Caenorhabditis elegans: one gene and its partner. The protein of the gene in region 1 interacts with the protein of each later gene in a pairwise test. Each region holds a gene or a part of one and is shown in the gene's direction. Other genes may lie near its edges.

Region 1 (6,521 bases):
AAAAACCATATTTGCCACTTGTTTTCGCCAACCAGTCATGCTTCCGCAGCTTTATTTTATTTGACATTTATGTCGACATGTGAACTTTTGAAGGACTGTAAACAAACCCACACAGCTCTAATAACAATCCAATTTTGAACTCTGATTCAATATTTCCATATGAACATTTTGTATTTAATACTTTAGGTTTAGCCAGGGTCAGATTCGAGTGCTGTTCTAATCTTAGCAAATTACAATTCCATAGACTATTATTTTCAGATGCACTTTTCCTAGAACATACAAAAATTGGACGACTCTCGTTTTGTTATCAATAAAATTGATTTGTGGTTTCAGTATTGCTTCTCGTGATAGATAACAAGCGCCTGGAAAGAAGTGTTAAAAAGTTCTAGAGCCACAATTTGATACCAAAAATGTTTTATGTTTTGAGAGAGCAAGTTTGAGTTCAATTTATGTTAAAGTTTGAATTCCGGGAGCGAATACTTCTGAAATTCTGAATTTAAGTTTTTTTAGTCACATCTACATACATATCGAAAGCGAGGAAAAGCGATCTCTGAATGAACACAAACTCCGAACAAAGATGGAATCACATATTTCATTCAACATGTGGAAGAGCGGTATCAATTGACTGCAAATGTAATTTCTGGAGAATACCTGCCATACAAAAGTCAAAATCTGACCGTTTCCTATTTCAAACGATTGCATAATATATTTTTAATTTTTTACACATGTATGGAAGTTTAAATGAGTAAAGGAATCCATAAAATTTTTTAAACGGAAATTTCATGGCACCGAAAAAAATTTGTTAGGAAAATTATTTGCAAACATAAATCATTGGTTAACCTAAAAATAGGAAACGCCTAAGATTGGGTCATCAAATTAGAGTTTTGCGGTAGCAGTAGTGTATCTGACCTCTAGATCCAAAATGTTCCAACAAACAGTTGTTGGAAACCTTCCGTTTGATCGATCCACGTGGTTTTCTTCTGCCCATTTCCGGTGAATTCTTTTTAAAAATCTTTATAATCTTCTCATTTCGTATTTACTTTCATTTTGAACTGTTCACTGATAACGAATTTGTCCCAATCAGAAGGTAATCAGAAATGGAATCAACTCCATGAATTGAGAAAAATGCGATGGGTACAGAAAGCAGTGGAGTTTCTGCAGGAAATGTTCAATTGAAAATAAACGGGCGGTGCGAACTCGATTGGTCTTTAGATCAGCTAGAGGAGTATTTAAGGAACAATGCTACAGTTGGTTCAAAATTGGACAAACTTTTGTTATCGGAAAGGAAAGTATGTAAGGAAGACACTTTACATTACGGGAAGTTGACTACAGTAGTCTTTTACGAATATTTTTGCAAACAATTTTTATAAACATAATCGATCAGCAATTATTTAAAATTTCAGATGATTTCCATCTGGATTCTACTTATATCTCTGCTCCTCACTGTGAACAGCCGGACAATCGTAGTCTATAATAATAGATGCGTGGGCGGCAAAGTATTTAAATGTGGATGATGATTGGAGAAATGGAAAGATTTGGGCACGGACTGGATGTGATGGAGATTTCAATTGTGAGACTGGAACTTGTTTGGTGAGTTTTCCGTAGTTTGAATGTAACTTTTTTGAAGTCTATAGATCTATACTTTAACAGTGTATCATTTTGAAAGTATAAGTTTCTATGGAAGTTTTGAAACAAATAAACACTTGGGGATATTTGATCAAAACATTTTGAACAATTTTTTAAGTTCAGCCAAAAAATTGTGTAAAAGGGAAATACGAAAAAGTACTTTAGATGTTCTAGAATATCTGAAAGTCGTGAATTGTCAAGGACGTACATCATTTTTTTTTTGATGAATATTCCAAAATCTATTACCAAAATACATTTTCATTTTCGGGCAAATTTTTGGTCTTTTTTCTGTCAAACTCTGGGCACGTTTTACGGTCGTCGAAACTATATAATCTTTTTGCCAAATTTTTGCTACTTTCTGCCAAACTTTGGGCAAGCTTCTCAACAGTAAATGTTGACAGGAAGTTTCAAACGTTTCGCAGAATTCACACGCATATACTGAATAAGTTTCAAAACATCCGAAATTGGGAATACCCGAAGTCTTGAAAAAAAATGAAAAAGGTTTGAGAGTTTTACACTTTTTCCAGAACGCAGAACAATGCAATGGAAGGACAGGAACTCCACCCGCATCTGTCGCAGAATTCAATTTGAAATCTTGGGCTGGAAGAGACTTTTATGCAGTTAATCTAATCGATGGTTACAATCTCCCAATGTTAATTGATGGGTTGGGATGTCAAAGAGCCGGTGGATGCATCTCTGATGTAAATGCTGCATGCCCTACAGAACTTGCAGTGAAGAGTAGTTCAGGTTACACTGTTGGGTGTAAATCTGGATGTCTTGGATATGGAACTGATAAGGAATGCTGCCGTGGGGAGTATGATTCTCCAGATAAATGCACAATGAGCTCTACAACGAAGATGTTCAAGAATGCATGTCCAGGTGCATACACTTATCCATTTGACAACTCAACAATGTTCGTGTGCTTGAAACCTTCGTCGTATACCGTTCAATTTTGTTGAATTTTTGAATTTTTTACCAAAAACTTAACTGAAATTTCTAGATAATTTTTTTTTCGAATGAACTATTTTCGGTTTATTGAAAGTTTTTGATTCTTGCTTCACTGATAACATGAGAAAAAAGATACAGTTATCTGACCAATCAACTATTTAATTCGGCGTCTGTCATGCCAACTTTTTGGTTAATATTCACAAAAAAAAGTGTTGCAGAAAGTTTGTAGCAGAAAGAAAATGCCTAGAATACAAGTTGGTAATTGAAATTGGAATAATGTCTGTCACCTATTTTTGATTCAACGTTTGGTAAAAAGAGCTTCAGATATTGAAAACTAATGGAAACTTTGAACATGACACCTTTTTTTACCCAAAAAATGTAAAAATGCAAGAAAAATATATTAACTAAAGTTCTGACTATCAATGACCGTTCTTTAGGTTTCAAAAAATTAATCCAGATAATTTTCACAGCCACAGTTTAGGTAGTACTGCCATTTCTCTTGACAATGCATAACATTTTAGGTGGCCTTTTACAAATTTGAATATGCATTTAGCTCATCTAGTTCACTAATTACCCTTTTTAATGAAGTGTTTCATTCCAATAAACGTCTCCTATGACCTAATCTCCTTCCCTTCGAGACCATATAGAGAGAGAGAGAGAGAGCAAACATAGTATGTCAGACAATGATGACGTGTCTACCTCTTGGAAAGGTCAACTGCTACGGTAGATACCATCTATTAGCAGTGCTCCTCTTCTTGTCTCATTTCACTCGCACAGGTCCCTATCGACTGGTTGTCACCCTTTTTCTGTCTGTAATATTCAAATAATGGCTTCGATCGAACTCCGCAATGTGCAAACCGAGCTTGCCGCGAAGAACTTGCAATTCAAAGTGCTCACTGAAAAGTTTTTGGAGCAACGAAAAGAGCTTTTCGATGCGAAGAAGACTGATTCGAATGTCGAATATGTGGAATGTTTGAGTGAGAAATTGAGAGTTGCCACGGAAAGAATTTCGGATCTTGAAAAGGAGACGAAAGAAGGAAAACAAGTAGCAAATGAGGAAATTGGTCGATTGGAGAAACTTTTGAGGGAAGCACAGCAGAAAAGGGATGCGAAAATTGATGAGTGAGTTTTTAAGAATTTGAGTTCCTAAAATTTATCGAATTATTTTTTCAGGTCATATCAGACATTCTTGAGAATCGAATTACTTGTGGCTAACCTTGGTGAGAGCACAGATCCTGAGAATGAAAAACGGTGAGTTTCGGAGCCTACCCAAGTTAAAACGCAACGCCTCTAAAGTTGGGTCTCGTTAGGTATTGGCGAAGGCAAAATCAGAAATTCAAATTTTTTCAAGAGTTTTTCCACTATTTCTATGTCGAAACAAATCATGTAAAATACACGAGAAACCCTTATTCAAATGCATCTTTAAAGACCATTTCGACATTAAAATCGATAATAACAACAAAAACGTTTGAATTTACGAGTTTCCTGCCAATACCTAATGAGACCCATCATTGGAGCGCGCTTGTGCCTTGATGATTTCAAAAAACCATTTTTTGCGTCCCCATAATAACAAGCACAAATGCAAAAAGTAACACTTTTCAGAATCAAAAATTTGATGCCAGCAGCGAAAACTGGTATTCCACCAGAGGGTGTTTTGAGATTGACGATTAATGCATTGGACAGTGCTGCTAGAGAATCCAAGAAAAAGACGATGGCCATCGAGAGCCTCACGAAACAGGTCGACGATGCGAACAAGCTCACTGAAGTCTATATGAAACGGCTTGAAGAGCTGGAGGACAAGCATCGATTCGAAGAGGCGCTCACGTTGAAGATCCAGGCGATGATGATCGAGACGACGGGGCAGTTGGAAGCCCAGAAGAAGATCATTGCGGATCTTCAGAAGAAGAATGACGATCTTATGAAAGAAGAGGAAGGGGAAGAAGATTATGAAGAGGAGGAGAACTACGAGGTTGAAGAAGACTTTGAGGATGAGGAAGAGTATGATGAGGAGGGAGAAGAGGAAGATTACGAATAAAATACATACTAGTTTCTACTTTTTTATTTTACTGTTTGTTTTTTCCTTCGTTTCATAAATTTCCAAATGTCAAATCTTTTAAAGAAATAATTTCAAAAATTCAGTAAAAACAAAACGAAAATAACGCAAAATCAACAACAACAAAAAATAAAATTGATTATCCTTCTATTTGAGACGATCCAGAATGTGTTTCTTTTTCGGAGCCTCGTCATCCACTTCCGGTGCTTCAAAAACTTCCTTCTCCACCGCATGTTTCTCCATATTCCGTTCCATTCGAATCTGATCCTTGACAATATTCTTACGAGCCTCCATCTTCCAACCACTCTTCTTGCTGCGCATCTTGTGACGTGGCGTATATTGAACAGCCATCGGACGAATGTAGAGAATCTTCTTTCGTTCTTCCTCTTCCAACTCGAGAAGTCCCTCATTGACCTTGTTAATGTCGTCTGGGTTAAGACTGATGAGCTCCGGTTGAATCTGAAAATTAGAATTTAGTTAGCATTACAATTTTTGCAAAAATTTTTTTCGCTTGCCAAAGAAGGGTCTTCTAAATTGCTGTAGTATAAGAAAACTCCGAATTTTCCGTGGAAAACTTTTGTGAAATTTAGAACCAAGTAGTCTGAAATAAATTTTCAAAAAAAATCTCATTTTTTTCGAGATTGAACATAATTTTGTAACTAAAGTTTTCATGAAATATAGAGAAATCAAGATTTTTTTGGAGAAAATTTTTTAAAGGTTTCTTTTTTATTGGTGAGGTGCTTTCGATTTTCATGATAAAATCATAAAAAATAGAGTTTTTGACATCCAGACTTCAAATATCAAAATCGAATAAAATAAATTCCATACCTTATCCAACAATTGTTTGATTTCTCTTTCCTTTCTCTGTGATTTCGTTTCGTACGGATTAGATCTGAGCGTATCAACGTTCGGATCTCCTGCCCCTGGCACCAACATACTCGTGAATCCGCCTGCGTGTCCAATTCCGAGCACATCTTCCCATGGAACAAATCGTAAATCAGTGACCACACCTCCACAATTGTGCACCAAATACGGCTCTTTACACGTCCCATTATGCATTCCACGGAACACTTGTACATGGTTTCCAACTGCACAGGCAACGTTCATTTTTTGAGAAATTGCCACGTTCGACACTCCAAATGGTAGTGAATATGCATGAAGTTGACGGAACATTCGAACATCCCAAATACGACATTTCCTGTCGAGACCCGTGGTCGCCATATAATTTCCCTGATCATCAACAGCAATTCCTTTGACTGCGCTCAAATGAGTCAAAATCTTGACAAGTGGTTCTTTTGAGTTGGGAGACCACAAGGACACGGTTCCATTTGTGTGTCCAGTGTGAATAATGGCATTTGCCGGATTCTGACACATCACATCAAGAGTTCCAGATTTCGTTGCAAACGAGGCAACTTGTTTTCCAACAGACACATCCACGTAGTTAAGGAACGAATTTCGCGAAGAGCCGACGAGCAGAAAATGATGGGGAAGAAATTCGAGGCGAGCTGTGTCGTACATGGTTTTCAGGCAATGAAGTTCTGTACCCAAGTTGTCGTATACATAAGTATAGTTTTTTTGGGCGACTGCGATGAAGTTTTCCGTATGAAGAAATCTGAAATTAATCGTTGTTATTAATGTTTAACAAATGTAATTAAACGTGTAATTAGCATCCATATGTTCTAAAGCTACCGAATTTTTTACAAAATCATCTTGAAAATTTCCTTTTAACAAAATACGCTTTTATTAAGTTGATTGAGGTGCATTTTGCCCAAATTCGGTGGTATTGTGTGACTTATAGGCACAAAAAAGCACTTCAATCAGCGAAAAAAAGAGGTCTCAGCGTAAAACAGTTTTAGAAATTTGGACGCCATAACCTACTTCACATCGGAAACCT
Region 2 (5,641 bases), on another chromosome or scaffold:
GGCCGCCGATTACAACTGCCCGGCATGCACTCGAGAGGCTGAAGGCTACGAGTCGGAAGCGTCAGATGTGTCGGGTTCGAGTCGTGTTAGTGTGCAATTAACGTGAGTTCACACATTGTTAGAATTTTCAGTTTTTCGGAAAAATTTCAGACGCGCCGACTATACTCATGTCTTTGAGCTCCTCGAGCTTCTCCTCGAACACCGTATGAGCACACCATTCAGGAACCCAGTAGATTTGAATGAGTTCCCAGATTATGAGAAATTCATCAAGAAGCCTATGGGTTAGTATTTCCGAAACGTCGTCAAACTTTGCATTTGAAATTTTTCAGATCTCTCAACAATAACAAAAAAGGTTGAGCGCACCGAATACCTGTATCTATCGCAATTTGTGAACGACGTGAATCAAATGTTCGAAAATGCAAAAACCTACAATCCCAAGGGCAATGCTGTATTCAAGTGCGCCGAAACGATGCAGGAAGTGTTCGACAAAAAGTTGATAGACGTTCGCGAGCAAATGACCGCCCGTCAACAGATGCTTCTTCTAGCTACTGCTCAACAACAGGACCCGATGAGTTCTATCAGAAAGCGTGTCCAGTCGGAAAGCCAGCGAACTGTCGACTCGTTGGATATCGATTCGGATCAGCTGTTGCCACTGGATGCGAATCTTATGAGACTTTATGATTTTTGAGATTTTTCCTCTTGTTTTTTTATGTTTTTCGTAGTCACACAGTGACTTTTCACTTGTTACGTTGACAATGTTTTGTAAGAATAAAATTTCTTTTCGATTTTCAATGAAAAATGTTTAAAGCACAGGTTCACGGCTAAATAAAAACGTTCCGCTTTATGTGAAAATTCATGACAAATAATCGAATGGAGCAATTTTTGACTCAAACTATAATTTTTAATTACAACACTCTTTAAAGGCGCACACCCGTTTATTTAACAAAAAAAAAATTGTGTCGAGACCGGGTGCCGTATTTTTGGTGCAAAAATCGCATAATTTTGCATAATTTTTTATAATTTTTAGGAAAGAACAAAAAGCGGCAAAATCGACGAAAAATGTATTGAAAGCGTTTGAATTTGCAGTTTTGCCGCCTTGGTTTCCGTTGGAATTGGAGCGCGATTGCACTTTGGTTTCAAAAATTGGTCACGAAACTACATTTTTTAATGCGATAAGGTGCACACCTTTAAAGAGTACTGTACTCTGAAACATTAATTGCTGCTAAATTTCCCCGATTTTAGCTTAGTTTTTCAATAAAAACTCAAATCTAACAATAAAATGCATAATTTTTACCAAATCGTGAGAAAAACTATAGAAAATCGATTAAGTTTATCAGAAAACTAAATGTTTTAACTACAGTACTCTCTCAAGGCGCACACCCGTTCGTACTTAACAAAAGTAATTCGTGTCGAGACCGGGTACTGTATGTTTGGTGGAAAAATCGGATAATTTTGTGTCTTAAAATTATATTAAAACAAAAAAAATTAATAAAAAAGTTTGAACTTAAATTTTTTATTCCCTGTCCTCCCCCCCCCCCCCCCCCGCCTATCAATCTGACGTGTGATCTTGTTCAAAAGTTTATTTATATATATTTTCGGACCATTCGTATAAAGTTGGATGAAATCTTTTGAAGATTGAAACTTCTGGTCATTTCAATTTTTATATCACTTCGTTACAAAATGGATTCCGATCTGAAAAAAGTTCAAAAGAATAGGTAAGCCGGAGCGGTCTTGGAACGAAGAAACAACTTCTATTTTCAGTGATCAGAAACAAGTTTCAAAAAGCAAAACAGCAACTGCGCCAACTGAGCCGTTTAACAGTAAGGCTACTGAGTTGCCGTCAATTCTCAAGCCGAAGTTCCCGTCGGACAAGGTCCTGAAGAAGAAAAAATCCGGTGACATGTTTGATCTTGTAGGACAGATCGTCATCGATATCGTTGATGATAATCCTGACGATGATGACCGACAGGATGAGGCTACAACGGTGGATACTGTACAAGAAGGAATCGGAGCAACGGTCGATGTAACTCTTGTCGTGAGTTTTTGAGGAGCAGAGAGACATTGTTTTAAATGAAAAACAGTGAGCGCTTTTAAGGAGCACAAGAGTCTTTATTGCATTCAAGTTTTTTTTTAGTAATTGGAGAACATGAATCGAATATGAAATAACCGGGTAAACTAAAATTTCAGGAAGACGTCGCTGAAAAAGCACATGAGCCAGCTTCAACTCCAAATGTTGCTGACCGATTGCAAAAACCAGTTGCAAAAGATGATAATAGCGCTCCGGTAGAAGAAGCAAATAGGAAGAAGAAAGAAGGCAAAGACCCCAAGAATTCAGAAGAAGCAAAGAAGAACAGTAAGAAGGGGAAAAACGGCACAGCAAGACGATCCGCGCTGAAAGGAGTCACTATTCCACCGGTGAGCTATCTAGAAAAGGCCAAAAATTTCTGCACGAAGTGGGATTCGAACCCACGCACCCATACGAGTACCAGAAGACCCAGTAAACCATCCGTGCGGTGAGTAACGTGCAGCGAGCGAGAGTATATGAAAAGAATGACAGAGAGTGAGAGAGCTTGCGTATTCAAGAGGCTCCATAGAAAATTGACGAAAAAACACTGGGCTTTTATAAAAATTTAAATTTCCAGGTAGCAGCTTCTTTACCTTGTCCTCCACCCCCACCTCCTTTGAGTGAGCGGAAGAAGAATGTAGGCCCAAAGCCATGCGTTGGTCCAGCACAGAAAAATTTGTCGAGCCAACGGAAGCATAGCTCAAAACGAAACCGAAAAGGGCTCTTGAGAAATGTGGCTAAACTATGGGGCCGAAAGTCGGATGGCATCGCCAATCCGTGAGTTATTCAAACCAGACTGCATCCCTACCGTGAAACATTTTCAGAACTAAAGCAATGCTGTCGAAAAAGTACGTGCCACCGGATTATGGAGTGAACCCTGTCGATTTCATGCCGGACCTTGAATGTTATTTTAGCAAAAACGACATTACTGTTCGTGATAAAAACAAGTGTAGCAAAGGAGAGGTTTTTGTTGAAAAGCTCCCATTTTGGTTGGCACGACTGCCGAGTGACGATGACATTCCGAAGGCTCAAATTCAGGCTCATCGGCCGCTGAAGCAAGCATTTGAAGGAAATCCGTCATTGCTCCTTCCGAAATGCCCAAGAACACTGCCGTTTTGTGAACCGGACTCTGACACACTGGAAAAGTTTAAGCAAGTTGATAAACAGATGGGAACCGATGTACCTGAACAGGCATCGAAAAGATTGTGTACAAACACTTTTTATGGAACCCTAATGTTTGAAAAAGACAAGAGTGCGTCTGAAGAGGTGAAAAAGAAGGTAGACTTTATTGACTAGCAATATATTTTTTGCGAATTTTAAAAGTTTTCAGAAAGAGGAACCAAAGTTGAAGTCTCTCGGAGAAGAGAGTGTGAAAGTGAACTTTAGTTTCCCTCCGAAACCAATCTTGTTTATTTACTCCAGGTAAGCTTGAGACTAAGCCGAAGCCTTATGATTTTTTGCAGAAAAAATCGACCAAGACCACCGGTGAGAGAGGACGACAAAAGCCACAGCTGCAAAAAGTGCCACCCCAAAAACTTGAAACCGGAGCGAACGTTCAAAAAGTGTGAATGGGTGAAAATGAAGAAGGGCGACGAGAAAAAGACTGTGACCAACTCGGCCAACTCGAAATCTGACACGAAATCGGCTTCTTTTTCAGCAGAAGGACGGAAATAGTACTTGTAGCTTAAAATGAATTATTGAAATTGAGGGGAAACAATTTTTCGGAGAAAAACAGGAACTATTATTTAAATTAAAATATTTTCGAGAAACACAGAAACATTTTGTGTAGTACAGTAGTTAATTGAAGGGACCTGCGCGATGTTTTATGCTGGGTCTCGCAACGCGCACACATATAAAATGGCTGTTACCGTAGTTGTTTAAATTTATTTGCTCCGGAATTCGTTTAAAAAAAATTCATTTTTGATCAGTTTATTTCAATAAATATCTCAATTTTTACAGAAAAAAAATGAGTGCACGTGGCCTGAAAGTTGAGATGTACTACAAATTAGCGGAAAAAAATGAAGCAGAGGTAATTTTCGCGTAAATATGTTTTTTTTATTTGAGTTTTTCAGACTAGCGATGTCTCTATACTTATCGACGGACATAAAAGAAAGTTCGCAGTCATCTGCAATGGAATCGGAAGAGAGATGGTGGATTTACACTATGATTCCAAGAAGTTTCCGAGAATTTTGTAAGCCGAACAATTATTTTGTGTTAAATAAATTTTAAAAAAATCAATTTTCAGTTCCCGAGAACGGCATCTCTACGTGATGTTCAGTGAAAGTACCAGCGATGGATTTCGATTGACATTCGGCGCAACAGAACGCGAACAATTTCTGAGAATCATGCATTCATTGGGATGCCTGCTGGACACCGCAATCGTGAAATTCTCCCAACAATCGAGTTCATCCCAACCTCCACCAATGCGTCGAGATTCTACAGCAGTGTTCAACAACAGCTACAATCAATATACTTCATTTCAACAAGCCTCTCAGCCGAGAGTTTTTTCAACCATTAAATTGGAACTTTCTGGAGATTCGTGCAATTCGGCGTTCCAGCCGTCCCAGCCGACTGGATTTCCAGACAACCAATTATTGACGATTAAAAAGTCCTCGTCGAACCAAATAGTAGGAAAGTACCATACTGTTTTCTGTAAAACTATTTTTCAGTCTCTAAGCGTTGAAGTAGCCGACAAATGCATTCAAACTGAGGATTTGGTCGATTTGCTGGCTGACGATGAGTATTGCATGCGAAAAGCACTGAGGAAAATGATCGAAAACCCAAGTTTTATCAAAGCCGTCGCTGCTGCAGAAAATACACTGCAGTATATTCCACAAGCGGAACAAGAGGGATTGGAAGATGTGAGAATATATTTGTCTAAAAACAATGGAAAGAATGTAATTTTCCAGGTCACCGAACCACCAATAAACGATATATTCTTTGATCGTTTTCATCAACCACAGCTTGAGCAACACGATTCTGTTCCAGAAGATTGATTATTTGGAAAAATTCTAAAAATTTAAACTTGTATCATTTGAATCTGTAAATTTTTTTTCAAGTATATTTAAGAAGCATTTTATTAGAGCCTTCGATTATTAGGAAAATCAGACGGAAAATGAAAATACCGGCTCTTCGCGGACCAGTTTAGCTCGGTCTTTAGCCGACAAGCGGGGCGTATCCTTGAGCTCTGTCCAGTGAAGAACAATTTCCTGATCGGATGGACACGAAACTCGAAACATTTCAGTCGCGTAACCGGCTTTCAGATAGTCGAGTACATGCGATAAATCGGCTGGAATTTCATAGTTTTTCAGCATTTTTGCGGCAACACGGATCGAGTGCAATCTCGTCAGGACCAGGCAATCAATATGCGTGACGTCATCGGAGATCAGAAATTTGGTTTCTTGTTCGGAGAGATACTTGTCGAGACGAAGGAGTTCCGTGTTGAAAGCCTGAAAAAATTTTCTAATTTTTCTTCTTTTCCTCAAACTGATTTTGTATTTCAGATTGAATAAAGAGATAAGCATTCAAGACTATTTCGAGAACGAGCGCCAGAGACATTGGAGCGCGCCGTGTCAT

The links.
Region 2: the proteins of atz-1 (region 1) and F26H11.4 interact in a two-hybrid assay, tested with the Caenorhabditis elegans proteins (2 studies listed by BioGRID).

What each region holds. Positions count from the first base shown.
Region 1 is NC_003282.8:12,372,933-12,379,453, reverse strand, and holds atz-1 (Protein atz-1), read left to right. Parts: upstream 1-3,332; 5' UTR 3,333-3,400; coding exon 3,401-3,696; intron 3,697-3,747; coding exon 3,748-3,825; intron 3,826-4,176; coding exon 4,177-4,609; 3' UTR 4,610-4,773; downstream 4,774-6,521. Other genes in the region: wdr-46 (WD repeat-containing protein 46), read right to left, coding at 4,775-5,086, 5,456-6,239, 6,506-6,521. UniProt on the Caenorhabditis elegans protein: Plays a role in meiosis, germline development and oocyte morphogenesis. May play a role in DNA replication.
Region 2 is NC_003280.10:14,407,071-14,412,711, forward strand, and holds F26H11.4 (ULP_PROTEASE domain-containing protein), read left to right. Parts: upstream 1-1,541; 5' UTR 1,542-1,680; coding exon 1,681-1,715; intron 1,716-1,761; coding exon 1,762-2,035; intron 2,036-2,187; coding exon 2,188-2,415; intron 2,416-2,434; exon of another isoform or gene 2,435-2,498; intron 2,499-2,642; coding exon 2,643-2,842; intron 2,843-2,889; coding exon 2,890-3,343; intron 3,344-3,395; coding exon 3,396-3,487; intron 3,488-3,528; coding exon 3,529-3,739; 3' UTR 3,740-3,772; downstream 3,773-5,641. Other genes in the region: nurf-1 (DDT domain-containing protein), read left to right, coding at 1-102, 151-281, 330-688; dsb-2 (Double-Strand Break factor), read left to right, coding at 4,032-4,094, 4,138-4,256, 4,311-4,692, 4,735-4,926, 4,975-5,061; Chloride intracellular channel exl-1, read right to left, coding at 5,170-5,514.